2 linked regions of the Saccharomyces cerevisiae S288C genome follow. The gene in region 2 interacts genetically with the main gene of each other region. Each region holds a gene or a part of one and is shown on either strand. Other genes may lie near its edges. The genes, in order: YBR196C-A and HEL2.

Region 1 (7,970 bases), on a different chromosome or scaffold from region 2:
TTTGTTCATGTTTCTAATATCCCATAAATTTAGCCTCCCATTTGAATCTGCAGATGCTAGAATTAAAGAGTTCTTATAGTTAAATCTACAGGAGTTTACTCCACCATCGTGTTTTTCACGGTTACTCTGGAGCTTCTCTTTCTTAGTCCTCAGATCTAATAGGGAGACCGCATTTCCTTCAGTACAAGCAGCAAAGAGGGAATCGTGTGTTGGCATCCAAGTTACATCATTCACCGCTGTTCCGTCGCTGTTTATTGACACTAAGGGTAAATCTATTATAGGGTTCTCATGCGAATATTGTTTAATGTCCCAAACTTGAACTTGGCCGTTGGAGTGAGAAGAAAGTAAAAGGGCCTCCTGCTGCAAGTTCCAGGCTAAAGAAGTCGCCTCATTTATATCTGCCGAAGAAGTATCCATTGCCTCCACGTCTTGAATAACACCATGTGAACCAAACAGCTTTGTCTCAAAGGGATGTGAAATTTTGGACTGTCTTATTCTAGTAGAGCCGTGTTTTGTTCTATCGAATATGTAGATTGCACCATCTGAAGAGGCGCCGGCTATAATATCTGGATTTTGAGGCAAATATCTTGCCCTATTGCATTCCCCGTTTGGGAAGAAAATACTGATGTCATTTACTAAGTGTTTGGAGGGAAACCTTGTCGAGTTCTCCGGTTTGAATTCCATTTCGTCCATGTCGAAATTATTTAAAGATGACCATTTTATATGACCCAACGTGGATATTTTGCTAATATATATGGTCTCATCTTCAGGTTTTTGGGAAGATGTAAATGAGGATAACAAGATGCGATGCTCATCCGAAGTGGTATCTAAATCAGGAAAGAACTGGCACGTTAAGGACGGCCACTTTGTTGAATTCGTGTTTAGGTAATCATAAAGTAGTTTAGTGTTTTTCTTCCAGTGCGAGTATCTTTCTTGCAAATCGATGGGTATACTGGAGGCTTCATGAGTTATGTCCTTCGCGCACTGATTCATCTTTGAAACTAAATTTGTATATTGTTTGTCAGAAATAGGACCTGATATCCTCCTTTTAAACAGTTGATGAGAACCTTTTTCGCAAGTTCAAGGTGCTCTAATTTTTAAAATTTTTACTTTTCGCGACACAATAAAGTCTTCACGACGCTAAACTATTAGTGCACATAATGTAGTTACTTGGACGCTGTTCAATAATGTATAAAATTTATTTCCTTTGCATTACGTACATTATATAACCAAATCTTAAAAATATAGAAATATGATATGTGTATAATAATATAAGCAAAATTTACGTATCTTTGCTTATAATATAGCTTTAATGTTCTTTAGGTATATATTTAAGAGCGATTTGTTCACATCCATTCCTTGAATTGATTGATTAAACCGTTGGTAGAAGCATCGTGGGTAGAAATGGTGGAGGAGTTGTCCAATTCCTTGCCGATGACTTTAGCCAAGACTTTACCCAATTCAACACCCCATTGGTCGAAAGAGTTGATATTCCAAATGGCACCTTCAGTGAAAGTAACATGTTCGTAGTAGGCAATCAAAGCACCCAAAGTAGCTGGAGTAATCTTTTGAGCCAAGATAGAGGTAGTTGGTCTGTTACCTGAGAAGACCTTGTGTGGGACCAAACCACCAGTGGCACCTTCAGCCTTAACTTGTTCTTCATCCTTACCAACCATTAAAGCTTCAGCTTGAGCAAAGAAGTTTGAAGCCAACATCTTTTGATGTAATTTGTTCTCAATTGGGTTATGAGATTGAGCAGCTAAGATGAAATCAGATGGAATCAACTTGGTACCTTGGTGAACCAATTGGAAGAAAGAGTGTTGAGCGTTGGTAGCTGGTTCACCAAACAAGATAGAACCAGTAGAGTAGTCAGTAAACACGTTACCTCTGGTAACAGACTTACCGTTAGATTCCATTGACAATTGTTGCAAGTAGGCTGGGAATCTGTGCAAGTATTGGTCGAATGGAGCAACCAAATGGGTTTGAGCACCAAAGAAGTTGTTGTACCAGACAGACAACAAACCACCCAACAATGGAATGTTGTCTTCCAATGGGGTTTGGGTGAAGTGGTTGTCGACGGCTTCAGCACCCTTCAAGAAAGCCTCAAAGTTGTCATAGCCAATGTACAAGGCAACAGACAAACCAATAGCCGACCAGACAGAGTAACGACCACCGACCCAACTTTCGAAACCAAACATGTTTTTGGTGTCAATACCGAACTTGGCAACTTCGGTTTCGTTAGTGGACAAAGCAGCGAAATGCTTAGCAATGTGAGATGGATCATTACCTGTCTTCGACAAGAACCAGTTCTTGGCAGTGTTAGCGTTAGTGATAGTTTCAGCGGTAGTGAAAGTCTTGGAAGCAATCAAAAACAAAGTAGTTTCTGGGTCAACAACCTTCAAGGTTTCAGCAATGTGAGTACCGTCAATGTTGGAAACGAAGTGGACATCCAAGACACCAGCGTAGTGCTTCAAAGCCTCAGTGACCATGACTGGACCCAAATCGGAACCACCAATACCGATGTTAACAACATCGGTGATCTTCTTACCGGTATAACCCTTCCATTCACCAGAACGAACTTGTTCAGAGAACTCCTTCATGTGCTTCAAGACAGAGTCGACTTCTGGAGCAACGTTGACACCATCAACGTACATTGGCTTGTTAGCTCTGTTTCTCAATGCGACGTGGTAGACAGCACGATCTTCAGTGGAGTTGATGTGTTCACCTTTGAACATAGCATCTCTCAAACCGGTGACGTTAGCCTCCTTGGCCAGTTCAATCAATGCAGCAATGATTTCATCGTTGACCAAGTTCTTTGAGTAGTCGAACAAGATTTTGGAACCATCATAGTTGGTGAAAGTCTTGTTCAATTTTTCAAAACGCTTGGCATCTTTTTGGAATTCTTGCTTGACAGACAAAGTCTTACCTTGAGATTCATAAATTTTTTGCAACTTAGACCAGGCTGGCAATTCAGTGGCCAGTTTGAAGTTAGTGAATGAGTTATTGGACATTTTTAGGCTGGTATCTTGATTCTAAATCGATTTTGCAAGACTAGAGGAATATGTATTAAAATTCACTGAATGCAAGTAAAATATTAAGTAAAAGAAAGCATTGATTATGAAGAAAGGACCTTTTTAAGATATGAGAACAATGAGAAAAGGAAAAATGGGACGAAACAAATAGGGAAAATTCCGTCTGTAAAACCAATTGTAGTAACAAAAAACGCTCATTTCAATAGCAAAAAAATAGAATACCGTCAATGGATATATATAGACACGGGACATTATAACAACGTGCAGATGGTGATGATTGCAAACCCAAAAAATTACCAGCTTCCTGTAATTCCAGGTTGAGCGCGTGGCTTCCTATAATCCAATACACCCACACCCACCCAGATCGTGATTTTTGTTACCATCCCGGTTCTTGCCTCATTGACATATTTTTCTGACGGTGACAGAACGTGGCCTTGTACACTCTTTTTTAATGTTACGCTGGCACAACATAGTTCAACGAAAAACGAATTAAGTTCTTACTTCCGTGTTTTAATCAGAAAACGATATTCCAATGAGAGATATAAGCGTAAGGTAGCATGTCCGATGGCAAAATTCTCTTTGCTTCCGCAGCGGGGCCAAAGTCTTACTCGCCTCTAACCCCACGTAGGACAAGTGCTGAGAATAAAATAGTCTTGGCGTAGTATGCCTTCTTCAGTAATATTTTTTCTTTTGAAAGTACTACCCACATCCGAACATTGCCACTTACATAGCGATGCAAATAGCCGCCAGGAAATGCCGCATGTTATCCACTAAGAATAGTCAACATTGCATAGCATCCAAATACGTGAAAGCGGACCGATCTTGAGCGAAATGTTTAGTACCGTTGATGTGTAGAAGTAGTGCCCTGAAATACATAGCGGTGTATTATTTAGCATTAACATACAAAAAAAAAATAACGGAGGCACCAATGGAAGTGGTGTCGCTACATTAGTTTTTAACTCAGTCAGAAAACTGAATTTAGTTGATATGGGACCGCTCCAAGGTAGGAGAATACTAGATCAAGTAAAGCAACCGCACTAGTGCCTTTTTCAAACAAGGTGGTTTGATGAGGAGGCTTTCTACAATCCTAGAAATATAAGACATCTGTCAGATTAGCCGCCGTTCATATGGTTTCAAAAGGTTGCGAATGGAGACAAACGTTCCTCGTCCCAAATTAGCCAGACGGAACAGGACAATAAAGGTGATAATGTAATCCATGACTTCCTCTATTTTAGACGGGACTTTTAGCATCCTCTAAATATTTTCAACCCATACATGTCATCAGCATCGGTGAACATCTTTAATAGTATCGACAACTTGGCTCACGTACTTCTCACCGTCAAGTGCGATTTCCGGGTCATGCAATACCTCGTCTGGTTCTTGATCTTTATTCGTGGCAGAATTATGCTGATCCTTATGAGGAGGGCTCCTCAGCTTGGCATACTTTAGTCGCTGATTTCTTTCCCTCATTAATCGCAGTAGTTGAGCGTGCGACTTGCGCATTTGCGTGAGATTGCTCTCAAAATCTCGTGGGAACCCGTCGTTGACGATAGGTTCTTTCGCCATCTTCTTCACATCATCCAGTGTATCGATTTCAGACCATGATACGTCTTGCGTCTCCGTAGGTGCCAGGTTTGAGTGCATTGTTATACGGCTACCATTTACGCTTCTTTCGTATGCAGTATTACCCCTACTAATGCTGGTCGTTAAGGGGTTTAGTGCTGGAGGCGTGGTTAGGTTTTTGGTCGGAAGTGCGTTGGAACTGCCCATTATAGAGGCAGTGGAATCTGAAGATCCCTTTCTTTTATCTTTGTCGCTCTTTGCCTTTAATTGAACCAGCTGAGGGTTTCCTTCCTGGCTACTAGATTTCCTTCTGTTGGTGGAATCCGCGTCGCTTACTTTCACCTGGACTGGTGGGGTTTGCTTCACTCCCATTATTTGTCTTCGTTCGTGCCAGCAACATACATTTCATCTTATTTCTCTGGAAGGTTTTTACAACAACCAGTTACATTTTTCATTTTTCTGTTCTTCGCCTTTCTTGTTTTGGCCCCGATGACTGAGCGAAAAAAAAAAGGCTAAAGAAGACGCTATGATAACCGCCGAGCAGGTCAAGTACGATGTCGAAAAAGCATCTAATAGTTACATATCGGATTAGGTTATACTTATTACATATCACTTCCATGCTGTTATTTTTTTCAGTGTGAATTATGGCCTGAAAGCACCTCCTGCAAGGGCTAAATTGCTTCTGCTGAACTTGACCTTAAAAACAGGCGTCTTTTTGGTGTAGAACGACGCTACTAAATCGCTTGTAGGTATTACTGTTCTTCTGCGACCATATTCTTTTATATCTTGGTTTATAGATGCAGTAACGTCACCCAAGTATCCAATGAATGGCTCATCTGGTTCTGCGCTTGGCTCAGTAGTGGCCTTTTTCAAATCCCATACACGGACTGTATGATCGGCACCTCCACTAATAAGTACGTTTCCCTCTTTGCTATATGATAAGGAATAAATGGCATTCTTACCATGGCCACGCATTTGTTTCAACCTTTTGCCGGTACCAATATCCCATACATTAATAATACCATCTTCGCTACCAGTGGACAACCACCTACCATCTGGACAAACAGCAATAGAAATGACGGGCGCAGTATGTCCAAGAAATAACCTAACCGAGTCGCCTGTAGAAACGTCCCACATTCGACACGTCTTATCGCTGGATCCCGTAAACACATAGCAACCGTTCGGATGAAATGACACACAATCAACATCATTTAAATGTCCTGCAAATATTCTTAATGGATATATGTGATCGCATGACCATAACCTTGCGGTTTGGTCGTGCGATGCAGTGGCGAAATAATGGCCTAGCGGGGAGAAACTAACATCCCACACAGGGTGATTATGGCCCTTATAGCTTACTAGCGCGGTGTGAGTATCCATGGACCATAGCCTGACGGTTTTATCTTCAGAACCAGAAAGTAAATACTTATTATCCGGACTGAAACTTGTTGAATATACTGTACCACTGTGCCCCACCAAAGTTTTACACGTTGGGTCTTCATCCTTGTCGTTGTTATTTAACGCGATGTTAGGATTATTAAGTGATGAGCCGTCGAGTGACCAGATCTTGATATAACTGTCTTGAAAGCCAGCAGCCGCTATCCTACAATCATCACTGAAATCTAAACATGACATGTCTTTATTTGTGTTTTGGAATGTATACATGCACACGCTTGGTAAGGCCAACTGTAAATTATCTAGTTTGATGGCATCACGAGATTCCTTGACCTTCTGAATCTCCAACTTCAAATCTAGTGCCGTCTTTGGTGGTAAAGGTAAAATATCACGTGCTGGCGAAGATAAATTGCTGTCTTTTTTTTCACCATCCACCTTCAATTCGCTCTCTTTTTTTTCCTCATCTTTGGCGATTTTATCTTTAATTTTGTCTTTATCATCGTCGCCAGTATTATCCTTAAATTTTTCGTTATTCATAGCTTTATATTCTTGCAATAAGGTTCTATTGTTGGCTCCACTGTAATTGTCACCTGCAGTTTGTTGATTTAGTTGTTTCTCTTGATCATCCTTAATTTTCAATTCAGTTTCAATCTCCTTAACAAACTCCTCGTCTTTTGGGAAAGGTCCCAGCTTGACAGGAACAGAATTCATTTCTAAATTTTGTTTACCATTTCCGTTTTCACTATCACTGAGAACTTTTATTCCATCAGCCAATTTTTCCCTTGCGGTTACTGATTCTACAATATTTGGATCTAGGTGCTGATTTATTACACTAATTATTAATGAACCTCCAATACTCTCATTTTCATTCAAAAAATATAAGAGAAGATTTAAAGTGGTTTTAGACATAGTAATTCTGTACTTGTGAGATTGGAAAGCACTTGCGACCTCATTTTCCTTGATGTGATCTATAGAATTGACACTGAAAAGTCTATTAATTTCTGAGCCATGGAAGTCCTTAAAATCGGGAGAAAATCTATCAAAGAAACGACGGGCGTAAACAGGATTTTTGGCCACCAAATTTAAAAATAAATAAATGAATATTGGGTACATGATGTAGCTTAGTTCCGGCTTGTAAATTTCCAGCGACGAATCTACCCAGTTTTTCAACATTGAATATGCACGTATATAATTTTCAGGTGCGTTGAGCCCTTCTAGTCGCCCGCTAGATACTATACCACCTTCTGCATCTCTCTTGGATGACAAATTAGTTGGATTGCTTATGGGTTTAGCTGTCTTCCCGGGGTTCGGAGGAATTGATGATTGTTCAGGAAATTTACCTGTTTTAGTATTTGCTGGTGATTGTTTGTTTTGAGGTGTTAGTGTACGTCCACTCTCGGCTCTCAGCATGGCCTCTGTACGGTGGTATCCCTTTTTATTCAGGTACTCTAGGACAATTCTATTCAAGTCTGACGCCGAAAACGGACCATTGGACCTCCCCTGCTGTTGAGACTGGCCTTGACTCTGTTGCTGTGGCTGCTGGCCGGAATTGGCGCCAGCAGCATTATTAGTTCGTTGATTCTTTACTGGTTGTGGCTGATGCGTGCCATTTTGATTCTGATTCGTACTTTGCTTCTGTGACATTCTTATTTTTCAAGTATCTCAACTTGAACCCGGAGTTTCTCGTATCTTTTCTCCTTCTCTTTTCCTACCCTTATGCCTGCTTTATTGCTCTTTCTGCCACTTTGTAGACTTCATTTGAAATCTTGAAACTTTTTTGCTTTTGAACAATTCATCTGAACCCGTAAAAGATGATATTTACAGCTACTTTTACCCGGCTAAGGGGAGAATTCCATTCAACGGAACGAGCTCTATAAGACGTTCTCTAACTGCATGTAGTGAAATATTTTGAACCATTTGATATGCAGATACTTTCACGGTGTTGCACGGCTGTATAATATACAATAGGCCGTTACAGCA
Region 2 (9,735 bases):
GGGATAACCATGGTAGTCGAATCCAGAATGTGTTAGAGCCTCTCTAAGTGAGTACACAGTGTTCATTTCTTGAGCAATAGCAAAGCAATCTTTTCCGGTATCCGTTTTTTGGAAAAAATCTGCACCATCTTGAATCAAGTATTTTAGTACATGTGGTTGCCCTTTTACAGTGCCCCAGTGCAGTGGGGTGAATCCTTCTGTATCTGCGATCTTTATGCTGGCACCAAATTTCAACAATTCTGCTACAGTTAGGGAATCTCCCTGGTAAGCAGCCCATAGTAGTGAAGTTCTGCCCTTTGGGTCTCGGCAATCTATATCTAAAAGACCTTTGCTGACAACGTTGAATAAAACGTATAGAACTAGCATTATATTTGAGCTGTTCACAGATAAGTGTAGTAGATTGAAACCTTGGTCATCGGTCATGGTGGGATCAGCTCCATGCTTAAGCAAAAAATCGACAATGTACACGTACCCATACCTTGCAGCCCAATGTAATGGTGTGGCATGCAAAGCACCAGCCCTTGCATTGACATCAGCGCCTTGTGAAACTAGAAAATCCACTACAGAAAGTCTGTTATTAATACTTGCCCAATGCAAACCAGTGATATGTTCCGTAGAGTCACCGTCGTTATTAACTTCGAGCAACTTTCCATGTATCATTTCTTTGACAGTCGCTAGATCACCTCTTTGGCAAGCGGTATGGTAGCGAGTTAACAGAGGATCTTCTTCGGCCTCATCATTATGATTCACCTGCTCGTTCCCGCTTTCCTCTTCATTTCCTGATCGGATAGCCTTTAATGATGCCAACGAAGTAATTTCGTTAGAATCACCCAGACTAATATCTTCCTGTGAGTCGTTATTGCTAGGATCAACCGTTTGCTCTTCATTCGTCAAGGTCGACGCCCGTGGCACATTCTCTAATTCGTTCACCATCAATTAGCTACTCTGAACAAAGAAGTGTTTTTTTATCTAGACGAAACGGAAATGATATATTCTACTTCGTGGTTTGTAATCTACTAATCGACCGTATATATTCCTCGCTTGCACTTGTGTCTGTACATTACTTCGTTTTATAGATCGTTCAATATGAGGGTGTAATAAGAAAGTACGAAACAATGGGCTGGCTTTATCACCCGGAGTGTAGGGTACGGATGTTTGTGATCAGAGTAACCCAATGCTAAAAGTCGTTCGGAGGAATAAGCAGCAAAACGTGAATTGATAATATTATAGGAGCCAAAGTTCTAACAATGATAACGTCTCAACAGCTACATGAGCTGTCCATATGTGCATCTTCTTGCAAGTAATCAGCCGGTTTTATCACAATTTTTACCCACCGTGATAATCTGAGAGGGCGAAGTAGGTATTAGCCGTTTACATTAGAAAAATAAGGTAGTGGTAATAAAGCACACTACACATCGAAGAAAGAAACAGACACTACTACATCGGTGGGGGGTCATACAATAGAGGACCAAAATGAAGAATGATAATAAGTTGCAAAAGGAAGCACTTATGCGACTATCGCAGCTAAGATTTCCATTTGCCGATGCTCCAAGTATAGTACAAGCGCATCAAAAAGATGAACAAATCCAGGGCCTTTTGATTATGAAAGTGACTGAATTGTGCAAATTGATAAAGAGTCAATTGTTTGTTAACTCTTACCCTAAGGAACTGTCCATATTTGCCAAGCTCCTGTATTTGCTCTTTACTACAGGAAGACGTGGTAGAACGTTAGGTGAGGAATATGTTGACTTGACATACACTAATAGGAAGGGTACCAGACTTGCAGGACGGCTCAAAATGATTGTATTCGCTTTCGCTTATCCTTTATGTCCATATTTCATCACCAAACTATACAAGAAAATAATGAAGAACAACAAGGAAAGTAAAATTGAAGATACTGAAAGTGTTGCCGCGTTTTGTAAGGGCCTTTTAGATTTCATTTTAGACGTACACATGACCCTCTTTTATTTCAAAGGAGCTTTTTACAGTATTTCCAAAAGGATTTTTGGTATGAGATATGTTTTTAAACATATATTGTCAAAAAATGAGGCCAATTTTAGAGAAGAGGGCTCACAAAAGTACAAAGTATTAGGTTATATCCTATTAGCTCAAAATGTTATGAAATGGTACCCTGTCCTAACCTCTACGCTCGGGTCCTGGATTTATGGGAGAAAAAGGACCAATGATTCAATTACTAGGTCGTCTGTTGGTCTACAGGAGCGTTCAGAACATGAATCTATAGAAGGCATACCGAAGGAATCGCAGCTGACTCATATAAATTTGTCAGATAAAAACCAATTGCCATTTATTCCAGAAGCCTCGAGAAAATGCATCCTATGTCTCATGAACATGAGTGATCCTAGCTGCGCGCCATGTGGACATCTATTTTGTTGGAGTTGTCTTATGAGCTGGTGTAAAGAGAGGCCAGAATGCCCCTTGTGCAGACAACACTGTCAACCACAGGAAATTCTGGTCCTGCGGCAATAGAGGAACTAATCAATAATTTGACTACTCTTTTAGCATTGTCCACAGGCCTTTTTCAGAAATAACGCAGACGTCTGAGCAGGAGAAGTAAAACGCGAAGGGGAAATAATGCTTTTTAGTCTTGTAATTATATTAATTAATTAAATAAGTTTTTCTTTATCGGAATTTTATTTAAGACTTTCATTTCTCTAATGCTATTGTCAGTTACAGGTTAGAAATATATTTCCAACTATACACCAATGTGGAATAACAGCTGCTTTTGTTTGCCTTTCTTTTTATTTCCTCCACTAGTTGTGTTCAATTCCCTCAAATTATCGTGCACGTTAGTATCTTGTGTGCTTGACTTTTTACCCCACTGCTTAGGATCAGCAATTTGGGGTCTGTTCAGACCTGGAATTTGCACCTTTGGCTTTGGTGGAGGTAGTTGAGGTAGGTTGAGACTTTTCAATTTATCTTTGCTATTATTTAGAGAAGTAGAAGAGGAACCCTTTTTACTTTCCAAATAGGTTGGAGAGAAGGCGACTGTATTAGTGGAAGTTCGATAACTAACTGATTGAGGTGTAGTTCTTTTAATGTTTTGCACGGGTCTCAGAGTGTTTTTTTTTACGGTGGTTGCAAAGGGATCATACGACGCTGAAGGACTTTTCAGGGTTGGAAGATTTTTGATATTCCTAACGCCTAATGCTGCACCAGCGCTGCCCCCATCGTTTGTTCCACCCCAATGGCCCCTGCCTATTGACATTGAAAGGGAAGAATCACTAGATAAAGAAGGTAGTGAAGTTTGTCGTGCAAGGGTTTGCTCTCTTTGTTCATATATGGCGTTCAGATTATTGTATTTGGAGGAGTTTTTGGGAAAGGTTTCAGCTAAGTTATGAATCAATAAATATACATCCGCATTTGGTTTTGTGAATAACAATTTATATGATTCCAATAATTTTTCAGCACTTAAGCGACCTTTAGAATAATCTTCGTTATAAGAAGAAAACTTATTGAAGTCTTCTTTGGAATTTTCCAGATAGTATTTTGCTCTTTCTGCCAATCTTAGTCTACTTTCCTCGGGAGAACTAGCAGATCTCACATCAGTTCTAGAGCCGGATGATGAACCCGGTAGGGAAGATATAGATGGAAGGTCGTAATCATCTCTTTCCCTGATCACTCTAGATGGAGCCGAGATAAAAGTAGAAAGTTCTGACTGGAAAAACTTTGGCTTTCCCTTCAGGATATTACCATGCTCCTGCAAAATGTGGGCTTGTAACTCCAACTCGTCTTTAAATACGACAAACTTGTTATCTAAGCAAGTTTGGACGGTGCAAACGTAATGCGAATGTTTAAAGTGGTCAAAAAGCTGATTATAATCCTTAAAGTATTGAGGAGAAGCGGGGTTCATCTTATCACAAATATGGCACTTTTCATGCTGATTTCTCATGTGAATGTACAATTCGTCGTCTGAATAAAATCGTTTTCCGGAACAGAAGGCACACATAGGGTGGCCTTTGAATCCTTCTGAATTACCCTTAGTTTGATGGTTGCGTAATTGATTTTGGGTGAATATTTCAAGCTCACAAGGGAATGCATGCTTATGGGTTGCACATATTAAACAGATCATTCTGTTATGTTCAGATTTCAAGTGTTCATTATATTTCTTGAAACTACCAAAGTCACAAACTTGTTCATCCTTCGATAGGGGACAAAAAAATTTTAAAAGATTTAGTGTTTCGGTAGCAACCTCTTCGCTAGTGAAATTTATTCCATATTTTTCATTTTTTTCGCAAAAGTTATATTTATCTGAAATATCACCATCTATGCGATCGGTAAACATGACTTCTTCATTCTCCGTTCTGCAAATCAAACAGCTTTTCTTGTTGTACAAAGCTCGTTGTCTGAAACCACAGATATGGCATGTCTTATGATGGCATGGTGTTAGAGATACGTATGTTAACTTGCGCGCACAAATTACACATAATTCATTTTCTTCATCAGTATCATCTGCGCTTGAAGTGGTGAGGTTGGGTTCAGCAGAAAGGTTATTTTTCTTTTGCTTTCTTCTGAAATTCTTCCTGTCGTTGTGAGGTTTTGTATTATTTTGGGGCCCTTGAGTACGACGGAAGTTACGTGTCGGAGTAACGTTTTCTTTCACTGATTCGCTCATCCTAATTCTTGAAAAGAAGTATAGCCACTATTTTTTCGACGAAAGAGACTGTATCAAAATGCACTTTATGGATCTTTTTCAGCTAGGTATGCGCTCGACGATTTGTTGAATATGGCTGAGTGGGCAGTCGTTCAGATGCCCTTTTCAAAATCTTAAGAGAAAATCAGAAAATATAGCTATTATTAAGAGTGACCGCGAGTATGAAACTTTCAGTGTAACCTTTCTTTATTCGAGATAATGCTTAATTACAAGTCTTCCGAATATCTAATTTTTTTTTTTTTCATTTTTAAATTTCAGTTTTTACCGCATGCTTTTAATGCAGGGATATGTATAACGAGGTCACTCCGTCACACATGACAGAATTGCGTTATAGTGATACAAAGGTTTATGTAACTAGGTAGAAAAATCGTCATTAAGTTTATTTTTAGAATTCAGATCGATCACTGTGTTAATATGAGTTCCTGAATTGTACTCTTGCTTCTACATCTACGCTGCTTTTTCTAGAGACCAGAAATTTACGATCCCGTCGTCACCGCCTGTTGCAAGTATAGTTTTACCATTTAACTCCAACCACTTCACAACGTTGATTTCATAAACTCCATGACATAATGCACGTTTAGCAAAAACTTTCCATTCTCCGTCTACTTCTTCATAGACCGCTAGTACTCCATCCGCTCCTACACTAGCAATGAGGCCATTAAAGCCCCATGCAACATTGTATACCTGTCTTTTGTGTACATCCGGGAGAATAGCTTCACAAACCCATTCTTGTTGATCATCCTCGTCGTCACCCATGTATTTCCATACCCGTACAGTGGAATCGTCGCTTCCACTGCACAGTCTAAACACGCCCTCAGTCTTGTCAAAATCAGAAGACCAAACAGTTCCTTCATGGCCATTTAAGACAGCAACACATTCCCAGTCATCGTCATAGTCTTTCCATATCCTGACGGTGTCATCATAAGAACTTGAAGCCAGTAATGCTTCAGATGGATGCCATATAACATGTTTAACGTCTTGTGAATGTTCTTGCAAAACACTAATACACTCATATTCCTCGCCACTTTCATCTGTTTCCCATATCCACACGCTTTTATCTCTGGAACAGGTTGCTAGGTAATATCCATCATTCGACCACGCTACACCTTTTACTTCATTTTCGTGACCTTCGATAATAGCTAGCAGGTCCATCTCGAAAGTTCTGTCAGCAGATTCTTCCTTAGCCCAGATAGATACAGTGGAATCAAAAGAGCCAGCCGCTAACAGCGAAGTGTGAGGTCTCCACGCCACAGATCGAATCGCCTTTTTATGAGCAGTCTCATCTAGCACATCAATTAACGTAAAATCGTCATATTTCACGCTAACTAGCTTAATTTTTCGATCAGTTGAACCTGTTGCTAATATACCTTGAGAAAAGTCAAAAGACCATATCTTTTCCTTGTAAAGTTTCAAAGACTTAATCAGATTGATAGACGCCATTACCAAATAAGTAAACCAATTGAACTATTAAAATGTCGTGGTATAGCCCGATTTTGATTTGTGATATCTACAAATCTAGTATTTATTCGCAATTAATGAGGCAAAGACGATACAATATTCGATGTGAGATTTTTCAAAACACGGCCCGCTGAGAGCAGAAAGTTTTAGATGACCTATTTGAAGGCAATCACGATGGTATTTTTCAAGAAAATAAATAGTAGTAACACTGCTATGCACATCAGAGTCAGATTCCTTAAATTCAAACGTTTCTACAATTAGTATGACCTTTTCTTGAAGATCTTTTTCTCCTTATAAAGGCAACACAAAACAAGATAGAAGTGCAAAGGTATTTTTTGTTTTTCACGTGATAAAATCGGCTTCGAGAAAGTAGAAAAGGGTATTATGATTTATTACAGGCTACCTGCACCATCTCAAAGGTTTTACGTTACTAAGGAGTGAATCAGGTTTTGATAAATATTTACACTATCTTTTACAAGGAAGATGTCGAATAAGCAGGCGGTTCTGAAGTTAATCAGTAAAAGGTGGATAAGCACAGTGCAACGTGCCGATTTTAAGCTGAATTCCGAAGCGCTTCATAGTAATGCTACGGTATTTAGTATGATTCAGCCAACTGGGTGTTTCCACCTTGGTAATTATCTAGGTGCTACACGTGTTTGGACAGACTTATGTGAATTAAAACAACCTGGCCAGGAATTGATATTTGGAGTTGCTGATTTACACGCTATCACTGTTCCAAAGCCAGATGGAGAAATGTTTAGAAAATTTCGCCATGAGGCAGTAGCAAGTATACTGGCTGTCGGTGTAGATCCAGAAAAGGCTTCGGTGATCTACCAATCCGCCATCCCTCAACACAGTGAATTACACTGGTTGCTTTCTACTCTTGCCTCGATGGGATTACTTAACCGCATGACGCAATGGAAATCAAAATCGAATATCAAACAATCAACTAATGGGGATTATCTGGTTAACGATTCTGACGTGGGAAAAGTTAGACTGGGCTTATTTTCGTATCCTGTTTTACAGGCAGCGGATATTCTACTTTATAAATCTACACACGTTCCTGTTGGCGATGATCAATCGCAGCATTTGGAACTAACAAGACACCTTGCTGAAAAGTTTAACAAAATGTACAAGAAAAATTTTTTTCCTAAACCTGTAACTATGTTGGCACAAACGAAAAAAGTTTTGAGCTTAAGCACGCCTGAAAAGAAAATGTCCAAGAGTGATCCGAATCACGACTCTGTAATTTTTTTGAATGATGAGCCTAAGGCAATTCAGAAAAAGATTAGAAAAGCTTTAACAGATTCCATTTCTGATAGGTTCTACTACGACCCTGTAGAAAGACCAGGCGTATCGAATTTAATTAACATTGTCAGTGGCATTCAAAGAAAATCGATTGAAGATGTCGTAGAAGATGTATCTCGTTTCAATAACTATAGGGATTTCAAAGATTATGTTTCAGAAGTGATAATTGAGGAATTGAAAGGCCCAAGAACAGAATTTGAGAAATATATCAACGAACCGACCTATTTGCATAGTGTCGTTGAATCTGGCATGCGCAAAGCGAGAGAAAAAGCAGCAAAAAACCTGGCCGACATTCATAAAATAATGGGCTTCTGACTGTCCCCGGCTTTAGGCTGCTGCAAACGCAATGTAAATAATAATACAGTTTAACTTGTACGTATCTTTGTTATTTCAGAATATGCAAGATTCCTCACTCGGCAGATCTCATCAATAAACGTTAGTATCTTGAAAAATACGCAGATGTTGGTACAGTCTCTTGCAGAGGGCCAGCACCGTTAGAATGTTGTGTTGCCACCGTCTGGCTCGAAAACAGGTCGATCTGTGTAAGTATTGTCCTGGGTGCAGTTATTTGTAGTAGCGATTTTCGCGGGCAGTGGAAAAGAACGGGTGCAGTGCGGCGATGAGTGCAATTAGCTGCCGAAGGGTTTGCACCGGTGATTCCGAGACCTTTTGCACACACTTGTATATATTTAGGGAAGTCACGGTAACTAATGGATTTCTTCTCAAATTTGAGACATATGGATTAGACTTTAATTCTGCCTGGTACTAAGCTACTTTTCAAAGGTATTTGAGATATTTCGTAAATTTTGCGGCCAAGGAGTTGAGGTGTTTAATACTTAAAACGAAATGAGAGAAGTGATACTTGCTGTACATGGAATGACATGCAGCGCCTGTACTAATACAATCAATACGCAGTTACGAGCTTTAAAGGGTGTAACAAAATGTGATATTAGTTTAGTGACTAATGAGTGCCAGGTGACATACGATAACGAGGTTACCGCCGATTCTATTAAGGAAATTATAGAGGATTGTGGATTTGACTGTGAGATACTAAGAGATTCTGAAATTACAGCCATAAGTACGAAGGAAGGACTACTGAGTGTACAAGGTATGACCTGTGGGTCTTGTGTTTCTACAGTCACCAAACAAGTGGAAGGCATTGAGGGTGTTGAATCGGTAGTCGTTTCCTTGGTAACGGAAGAGTGCCATGTTATTTATGAACCGTCCAAGACAACGCTAGAAACCGCCAGAGAAATGATTGAAGACTGTGGATTTGACTCAAATATTATTATGGATGGCAACGGGAATGCAGACATGACCGAAAAAACGGTGATCTTGAAAGTAACTAAGGCTTTCGAGGACGAATCCCCACTCATACTTTCTTCAGTAAGCGAAAGGTTTCAATTTTTGTTAGACCTAGGTGTAAAATCGATAGAAATTTCTGATGATATGCACACACTCACCATAAAATACTGTTGTAACGAACTCGGCATTAGAGATTTATTGAGGCACCTTGAGAGGACCGGATATAAATTCACTGTATTTTCCAATTTAGATAATACTACCCAGTTAAGGCTTCTCTCTAAAGAGGACGAGATAAGATTCTGGAAAAAAAACAGCATAAAATCCACCCTTTTGGCTATAATATGTATGCTATTGTATATGATTGTCCCTATGATGTGGCCAACAATTGTTCAGGACCGCATATTCCCTTACAAAGAAACCTCCTTTGTTAGAGGTCTGTTCTACAGAGATATTTTGGGTGTAATATTGGCAAGCTATATTCAGTTCAGCGTTGGTTTTTACTTTTACAAGGCAGCATGGGCATCTTTAAAGCACGGTTCAGGAACCATGGATACACTAGTTTGTGTTTCCACTACTTGTGCATACACATTTTCTGTGTTTTCTTTAGTTCACAATATGTTCCATCCCTCAAGTACTGGCAAACTCCCAAGGATCGTTTTCGACACATCAATCATGATCATTTCATATATTTCCATCGGGAAATATTTGGAAACTTTAGCTAAATCACAAACATCAACCGCACTTTCTAAATTAATTCAGCTCACTCCATCGGTGTGTTCAATTATATCTGACGTGGAGCGGAATGAAACCAAGGAAATTCCCATAGAATTATTGCAAGTGAACGATATAGTGGAGATTAAACCAGGGATGAAAATTCCTGCTGATGGCATCATAACAAGAGGTGAATCTGAAATTGACGAGTCGTTAATGACAGGCGAATCCATTTTGGTGCCCAAGAAAACTGGTTTTCCGGTTATTGCTGGTTCTGTTAA

Evidence for each region.
Region 1: mutations in HEL2 (region 2) and YBR196C-A together harm fitness more than expected from each alone (negative genetic interaction), as found in Saccharomyces cerevisiae (one large-scale study listed by BioGRID).

What each region holds. Positions count from the first base shown.
Region 1 is NC_001134.8:610,890-618,859, forward strand, and holds YBR196C-A (uncharacterized protein), read right to left. Parts: upstream 3,285-7,970; coding exon 3,135-3,284; downstream 1-3,134. Other genes in the region: MSI1 (Msi1p), read right to left, coding at 1-993; PGI1 (glucose-6-phosphate isomerase), read right to left, coding at 1,347-3,011; YBR196C-B (uncharacterized protein), read right to left, coding at 3,637-3,741; YBR197C (uncharacterized protein), read right to left, coding at 4,314-4,967; TAF5 (chromatin modification protein), read right to left, coding at 5,238-7,634.
Region 2 is NC_001136.10:997,391-1,007,125, forward strand, and holds HEL2 (E3 ubiquitin-protein ligase HEL2), read right to left. Parts: upstream 4,634-9,735; coding exon 2,714-4,633; downstream 1-2,713. Other genes in the region: palmitoyltransferase AKR1, read right to left, coding at 1-933; PEX10 (ubiquitin-protein ligase peroxin 10), read left to right, coding at 1,474-2,487; iron-sulfur cluster assembly protein CIA1, read right to left, coding at 5,120-6,112; tryptophan--tRNA ligase MSW1, read left to right, coding at 6,614-7,753; Cu(2+)-transporting P-type ATPase CCC2, read left to right, coding at 8,285-9,735. UniProt on the Saccharomyces cerevisiae protein: E3 ubiquitin-protein ligase that plays a key role in the ribosome quality control (RQC), a pathway that takes place when a ribosome has stalled during translation, leading to degradation of nascent peptide chains.